2 linked regions of the Caenorhabditis elegans genome follow. The protein of the gene in region 2 purifies or fractionates together with the protein of the main gene of each other region. This does not show direct contact. Each region holds a gene or a part of one and is shown on either strand. Other genes may lie near its edges.

The links. The genes of interacting proteins can lie anywhere in the genome.
Region 1: the proteins of rexd-1 (region 2) and Y106G6E.4 fractionate together in Caenorhabditis elegans (co-fractionation; one large-scale study listed by BioGRID). This does not show direct contact.

What each region holds. Positions count from the first base shown.
Region 1 is NC_003279.8:10,221,113-10,224,529, forward strand, and holds Y106G6E.4 (putative 5-formyltetrahydrofolate cyclo-ligase), read right to left. Parts: upstream 1,667-3,417; coding exon 1,427-1,666; intron 1,107-1,426; coding exon 974-1,106; intron 926-973; coding exon 678-925; 3' UTR 530-677; downstream 1-529. Other genes in the region: ced-12 (Cell death abnormality protein 12), read right to left, coding at 1,861-2,002, 2,082-2,319, 2,371-2,597, 2,643-2,993, 3,040-3,417. UniProt on the Caenorhabditis elegans protein: Contributes to tetrahydrofolate metabolism. Helps regulate carbon flow through the folate-dependent one-carbon metabolic network that supplies carbon for the biosynthesis of purines, thymidine and amino acids.
Region 2 is NC_003281.10:1,832,941-1,837,568, reverse strand, and holds the start of rexd-1 (Minor tail protein), read right to left. Parts: upstream 3,057-4,628; 5' UTR 3,050-3,056; coding exon 2,963-3,049; intron 1,437-2,962; coding exon 1,363-1,436; intron 1,306-1,362; coding exon 1,203-1,305; intron 451-1,202; coding exon 309-450; intron 1-308. Other genes in the region: Y39A3CL.7 (uncharacterized protein), read right to left, coding at 3,672-3,735, 3,988-4,179.

The sequences.
Region 1 (3,417 bases), on a different chromosome or scaffold from region 2:
AGAGTGACCACTCGTCAAGCAAGGGAGAAAAAGCAAAGGTATGTTGATCATGATAACCTTTTTGAAATAATAATATTTGCAGTGCGGATCGGGAGACCAAAATTGACCTCGTGTTCAACAAGTTTGAGAGTGAACAATGATTACTATGTATTGACTTTAAATGAATATTTTTGTTCAGTTTCGTGTAGTTGCTCTTCATGTAAATTACAGGGCTTCTATCATATATCGATTTAACTACATCAGTCCTCATCTCGGTCTATCTGAACTGTGTGATATTAGTGAAACCATTGAATGTATCTAATTTTTGCTAATTAATGTCTTCAGGCCTTTGAATCCTTTCGTTTTGTGTGAGCAAGTTTTCAGATATATTTACAGGCTTTTGGGACAATGCTATGCAGTTCTATGGGGCATTTCAGAACATCTCCACAAGTTTTCGTGGTGGGACCTAAAATTGAAACACCTCGGAAGGCTAGAATGCTTCTAACTAATGACTGAATAATCTATGAAAAAATTATATATAACTGTAGTTCAAAAAAGTTTATTCAGTTAACAAATGCAAGAAATTGTATCACAAAACCATTTGAGGAATGTCTGAAAAATCACTTATAAATTGGCGAGAGAAATTTAAAAAAAAATCTCAATATCACAATCGGGAATATTATTTAGAGTGTGAAGCCTTAAATAGTATCAAAAATAATAGTTTCTCCTTCATAGATAACCTCATCAAGTTCAACATCAGTTTCAGAAATAGGAATTGTACCAATAATTTGCTCACGAAGAGCCAATCCTATCTTTTTTGGGGAGTTTTCTGGAAAATGTTTGTGATGAGTGGAGAAGAAGCGATCGTAATATCCTTTTCCATGACCACAACGAAGTCCATATGGTGAGAAGGCAACGCCGGGTGCAAGGATCAAATCCAGTGGTCCTGTAAGTACTTATAAATTGGAGTTATATTATTAAAAAGCAGTCACACCTGTTTCATGATAGCTTTGCCATTTCCATTTCGGTTCTGGCTGTCTGATTCCCCAAAGTGTTGAAGGAAGATTGTCAAAAGCAGTTTGATCCGGAACTCGAACCATATCCATTGCAGTTGAGCCCTTCGTGAACTGAAATTTTTACATTTGTGACTTCAATAAATTATACTTGCTGTACGTGCCTGTCTCCCTGGATTCATATATAATATCTGCCTAGGTACTAATTGCCTGCCTACTACAAACGATTACAGCCTTCATGTCTAGGGGCCTACTTTACGCCTACCTCGCAAGTGCCTTAGTTCTGCCTGGCTACGTGCCTGCCTGCCTTTATTCATAGCTCATATCTGCCTACTTCTTGTCGGCCTACCTGCTTTATTTCTGCCTGCCTATGTGCCTACCTACATGCCTACATCTTAACATCTATTGCGCATCTGTTTCAAAATAAATTTTACCTGTGGAATGAAAACTTCTTTTCCCATTTCCAACGCTTTTTGAATAATCGAATCAGTTTGTATTTCTCCCGATGTACTAACATAAACTGACAATCTCTTGCTCTCTTGAAACCATTTCGATTCAATTATTTTTTCAAAAACCGCCTCTGTTTGACGTTGAGTTTCTTCTTTCGAAATTTTTCCGAGCAATGTCTTCATAAACTGCCTGAGCTCTGATTTTACCTCTTTTATAGCACTCATCTGAAAATGTTGGTCAAAAATTTGTTTTCAAGAGATTCAGAAAACTGTTAGTGGCCTGTAGTTAATGGCTCGTTATTCAAATTAAGTTAAATACACAGTAATAGGCATAAATTACAAAATTTATTATGCACATGGAAATGTTTTGCCTTTCAATATGGTAAAATGCACGTAAGAATGATAAAGCTTGAATATGATTAAAACTTTGAAATAAAGCTTTTGATATCGTCAGGGATCGGTGGAATTTCTGGTTTCTCCTCGGGGTTCGTGAGTTTCACATTGAGAAGGCGAACTCGTAGCTCCATTTTCAGCATTCGTTCAACCATTGCATCGGTTTCACTGAAAATATTTCAATTGGTATTTTCGGGGCTTCCTATTCTTCAGGTTACTGTAACTACAGTAACCAATGTCTAGATACCTTTTAACTGCCTTGCTCCCAATCAATTCAGCAAGACCTTCAAGCCATATAACAGATTGAGTTTCATCGGATGTCAATGCCATTAAAACTTCGCCTTCTTTCATATCATTTGTTGTTTTTAATTGTACACGAATCCCTCTTAACATTTGTGTAGATGGAGAAGAAGTGAATCGAGATGAGCTTGCTTTTCTATCAATCTCATCATTATTTGTTACATCAGCAATATCTTTGATCCAAACTGAAAATAAATTAATTTATTATTTGAGAACTAATTCAATATTCCCCCAACCTTGCCGAATATCATCTCTCTGCACACCTTCCACATAGTTCTCACCATCACATCCAGTTATAGTGAGCATTTTCTCCGATGCATCGAGCTTCCAATGCCAGAAGGCGAGCTTTGCGAGGGATTTACTTTTCTGTGGTTTTCGAAAAACGGCGCCTAACTTCAAATAGTTTAGATGATTTATTCGAACCAATTCCTCCATTTTTGGCCGCAATTTCGATTTTAGTTGTCTGAAAATATGTATACGAATAAGTTATTGGAATTTTCAGACTTACATCACAGCTTCACTATGTAATTGAATATTTTCCTTTCCCAATTGTTCCTCTCTCCAAATTTCTTGCATTGCCCTATACGAAAAAGTCTCCAAATCCGCAGATAGTTCTTCTACATCTTGTATTTCCCGTCTTTTCAGCACATGCCGTAACTGTTCCAGTACAACACACGCAACTTTCTCCATTTCACCTCCTTTTGCCTGCATCTCACGCCATGTTCGATGGAAAAGGTGTACAATACATGCGAATACAGCTGGAAATGGAGTCTCCGTGGAAAAGAGAACTACAATCAAACGATCCAACTCATCACGACCAGGTATTACTCTGAACAATTCTGCGGCAATGTCACAGCACCTGAATTTAAAAAATCATCAGAACATCTTTACGTTTGCAAAAAAACCTCATCCACATTGGAATCAGTTGCCATTTTCCTCCTTCAATCCTCATTGTATTCTCCGAAATTAGCATTCTCAGATCTTGCGGACTTTTTTCTGCAAATTGAACCATCGAAATTGCAGCCAACCGTCCACATCGGTGTTCCCCAATTTGTGATTTCCACATTTCTCTGATCTCCTCGGAAACATCCTCACTGGATTCAATATCAAGAATTTTCTGAACTTCAGCATCAGTAGGAGGTGAAGTTTCATATGCACTAATCAGACTCCTTTGAACCTCAACAAGTTGTTCAATAGCATTCAGATTTCGAACACCACCACCACCACGTAGAAGAGAACTGTGTACAGCATTACGGAATGGAACGACTTCTAAAGATTTAATA
Region 2 (4,628 bases):
AATTCGATTTCTCCAAGTCTCCAGCTTTCAAATGACCCCCAACATGCCCATATTCCGCGCAATTTGAAAATTTCGGGTCCCGCCACGCGGGTTACTGTAGCACCGATTTCAGCTGTGTCGGTGGGGCAAATTGCATGGAATATGGGCAATTGCATGGAATATGTCAGGGGTCATTTGAAAGCTGGAGACGTGGAGAATTCGAATTTTCGAGGTTTTTTGGGGGGAAATTGAATTTTCAGTGGGATTTTTTGAAAAATCCATGAATTTGAGCCATTTTTCGCGGCGGGTTTTCAGTGAAAAACCCGTACTAATTTCGAGTTGTGGCCAAATATCACACATCCAAAGAACTTCTCGATTTCTGGACATAATTCCAGGCAGTAGAAGCTGTGTTTCTCCGTCGAAAATTCGAGATTCATAGGCCGGGCGGATTCGTTTGTATTTTCTCACAATCTGCAAAAAAAATGGAATTTTAGGATGAAAATTGGGGATTTTTTCGAATTTTCTGCATGAAATTTGCAAAAATTTGCAGTTTTTTAACGGATTTTTGCATCAAAATTCGGAATTTCGTGGATTTTTTTTCAAATTTTCAGTGGAAAATGTAAAAATTATTCAGTGTCTAGTCATTTTTCGACGAAAAAGTGGAAAAATTTGGTAGTTTTTCAGGTTTTTCAATGAAAAATTTAATTTTTCACGAATTTTTAAAAGACTTTTTTCAAAATTTCAGTGAAAAAAGCGAATTTTTGAATATTATTTGGCGGAAAATTCAAAAAATTCAAATTTTTAAATATTTTTTGGCGGGAAATTCAAAAAATTCAAATTGTTAAATATTTTTTGGCGGGAAATTCAAAAAATTCAAAATTTTGAATATTTTTTGGCGGAAAATTCAAAAAATTCAAATTTTTAAATATTTTTTAGCGGAAAATTCAAATTTTTGAATATTTTTTTGGCGGGAAATTCAAAAAATTCAAAAAAAACTGTTTTTTTCTGATATTTTCACCGCAAAAACGGGATTTTCACTGAAAAATCCAGAATTTCATAGAAATTGATGAGTTTTAGTCATTTTTCTTAGATTTTTTCCAAAATTTCAGTGAAAAAATCGAAAAACTCGGTTTTTTTTTCGAATTTTCACCGCAAAAACGCGGGTTTTCACTCGTTTTTCTCCAAATTTTCACTGAAAAATCCAGAATTTCTTCCATTTTCACCTCAACAGACATTCCTTCATCATCAGTTGGTTCCCAGTCAATTGTTTGACCGAATACAAGAGTCTCGTCGATTTGCATTGATTTTTCGAGGCGCATATTTCCACTGAAAATGTCATTTTCCGCTTAATTATCGATTTTTTCCGGTTTTTTTTCCGATTACCTGTACACATTTGAGACTTGTTTCGTTTTTGTGCGTTGTGTAACCACTGGAATCATTTTAAACTGCTTTACGGTCTGAAAAGCGTGAAAATTTTCGTTTTTTTCGGGCCAGAATTAGGCCAGAAGCCTGAAAACTACTCATTTTTGTGCATTTTCACTGCGAAATTCGCATTCAGAGCACTTTTTTACTCCTATTTTGCACAGTTTCGCTCGATTTTAAGAAACTGTGTAATTTGTCGTGGGATCCTCGGTGTTTGCGTACTTTTGGGGCTACAGTAACCCGGAAAATTGAAATTTCGCGATAGAAAGCTGGGAAAACACGATTTAGGGGTAAAATTGGCTGGGGAATTCGAAAATCGAACTGAAAACCTTTTTTTTTTCAAAAATTGAAAATTTGTGCATATAATTTTACAAATTTTATAGAAAAACTCGAAAACTCGGAATTTTTACGATTTTTCACTGCTAAATTCGAATTCAGAGCACCAATTTACCCCTATTTTGCATATTTTCGCAAATTTTCAAAAAACTGTGCATTTTGTCGTGGGATGCTCGGTGTTTGCGTACTTTTGGCGCTACAGTACCCCGGGAAATCCAAATTTGAGCTAGAAGCCTAGGAAAACGCGAAAAATTCGAAAATCGTGAAATTTTGATGAAAAATCGTATTTTTTTCCAAAAATTTCCAAAATTCCAGTTAAAAACCTCGGAAAACAAAAGTTTTTCGGAAAAATTAGCTTGAAATCTCAAAAATTCGGTTTTGAGCCATTTTTCAGAGGATAATTCCCAAATTTTTACAATAATTTCGAAAAAAACAGTAAATTCCAGCAGTTTTAGGTTAAAACTTGCAAATTTTCGAAATTTTTTTTTAGATTTTACGACAATTTGCACAAAAATCGGAAATTTTCGGTTTAAAGGTCGGGAAATTGCGTAAAATATCTAAAAAATCGGGAAAATCGAAATTTCGAATTTCCCGGGGTACGGTAGCGCCAAAAGTACGCAAACATCGAGCATCCCACGACAAAATGCAGTTTTCCGAAATTTTGTGAAAATATGCAAAATGGGGGTAAATTGGTGCTCTGAATTCGAATTTAGCACTGAAAAATCGTAAAAATGTCTAGTTTTCGAGTTTTCCTGAAAAAAAATTATAAAATTATGCAAAATTTTCAATTTTCGAAAAAAAAAGTCGAGTTTTTACTGAAAATCTCAGGCCCAGAAGTACGCAAAAACCACCAAAACACTGGATTTCACGACAATTTGCACAAAAATCGGAAATTTTCGGTTTAAAGGTCGGAAAACCTCTGAAAAATCAGGAAAATGCTCAAAAAATTAAAAAAAAAAATCGATTTTTCACTCAAATTACAAATTTCGGGGGTACTGTAGCCCCAAAAGTACGCAAACACTACAAAAACACTAGATTTCACGACAATTTGCACAAAAATCGGCAATTTTCGGTTTACAGGCCGGAAAATTGCGCAAAACTCCTCAAAATGCTCCAATTTTTCAAAGAAATTCAAATTTTCACTCAAATTTCTTCGAATTTCGGGGGTACTGTAGCTCCAAAAGTACGCAAACACCGAAATTTTGCGAATTTTCTGGTTTTTTACCTCATAATTTTGATCAAAAACCAATGCCATTTGGTAAACCATTCCCTCGACGGGTTTACTGTTGGTGAGCACAATGCCACGTGGCATTGTACGGCTGAAAAAAAATTTCTTAAAAAAATTCTGAAAAAATCAATAATTTTGTAAAACAAAAAAAAATATTGCAAAGTCAGGGAGAATCAACAACAAAAAAAAACTGAAAAAATTGGAAAAATTCGGAGAAAAAAAAATTTAATTTTGAATTACAAAAAAAAGAAGCACAATTGAAACAAGTATTGATTGAAAACCACAGAAATTATCGATTTTTTCAGAAAAATATCGATTTTTAGAGAAAATTATCGATTTTTTCAGAAAAATTATCGATTTTTTCAGAAAATATCGATTTTTTTCAGAAAATTATCAATTTTTTTCAGAAAATTATCGATTTTTTCAGAAAAATATCGATTTTTTTGGAAAAATATCGATTTTTCAAAAAAAATATCGATTTTTTTTTTGGAAAATTATCGATTTTTTCAGAAAATTATCGATTTTTCAGAAAAATTTCGATTTTTTTTAGAAAATTATCGATTTTTCAGAAAAAATATCGATTTTTTTTTTCAGAAAATTATCGATTTTTCAGAAAAATATCGATTTTTTCAGAAAAAATATCGATTTTTCGAATAAAATAATAAATTAAATTTGAATAAAAATATAAAAATAAATAAAAATGCATTTATTTCCTGGATTTTTCGCGTTTTTCGCGTCGAATTGGAGAAGTTGAACCGGATGATGAAGAACTGAAAAAATATCGGTTTTTTTTTCGGCGGAAAATTTAAATTTTGGATATTTTTTGGCGGAAAATTCAAAAATTCAAATTTTTGATCATTTTTTGGCGGGAAATTCAAAAATTCAAATTTTTGATCATTTTTTGGCGGGAAATTCAAAAATTCAAATTTTTGATCATTTTTTGGCGGAAAATTCAAAAAATTCAAATTTTTGAATATTTTTTGGCGGTATATTCAAAAAATTCAAATTTTTCATCACCGAACCTTGATCTATCCCGTCTGTTGCTCTTTTTCGCCCGTTTCTTATCATATTTATCACTATTTGTTCGGGATTTTCGATCAATTGGTGAATATGTCAGACTTCTGGATCGTGATCTATCCCGCCGGCGTTCCGGGGACCGATGACGTGATGTTCGAGAGGAAAGTGATGGAGGAGATCGATTACGGTGATTAAATCTGAAAATTTCAACATTTTCAGCGTTTTTCTTGTGAAAAATCGAGTTTCTCGCCATTTTTTACATCGAAAACCTGTTTTTCAGAGCTTAGCCGCAAGAATTAAGAAAGTTGTGCATTTTGTCGTGAGGCCCTCGGTGTTTGCGTACTTTTGGGGCTACCGTACCCCAGAAAACAAAATTCGAGCTAGAAGCCTATTGAAGGATGTTCTAGGGTAGAAATCGATGGAGAATTCGAATTTTCTACTGAAAATTTGTGAAAATCCAAATTTTTGGCTTAAAAATGAAAATTTGGGCATAGCTTCCGCATCTCCGAGTGACAAATGTGCTCTATTGTCAAATTGTTGGCAGAAATACGGTATTTATTCACATTTTCAGCCTAATTTAAGACTGAAAATGTGAATAAATGCAGTTTTTATGCCAAAATCTGAGAAACGCACAAGTCACAGGGGA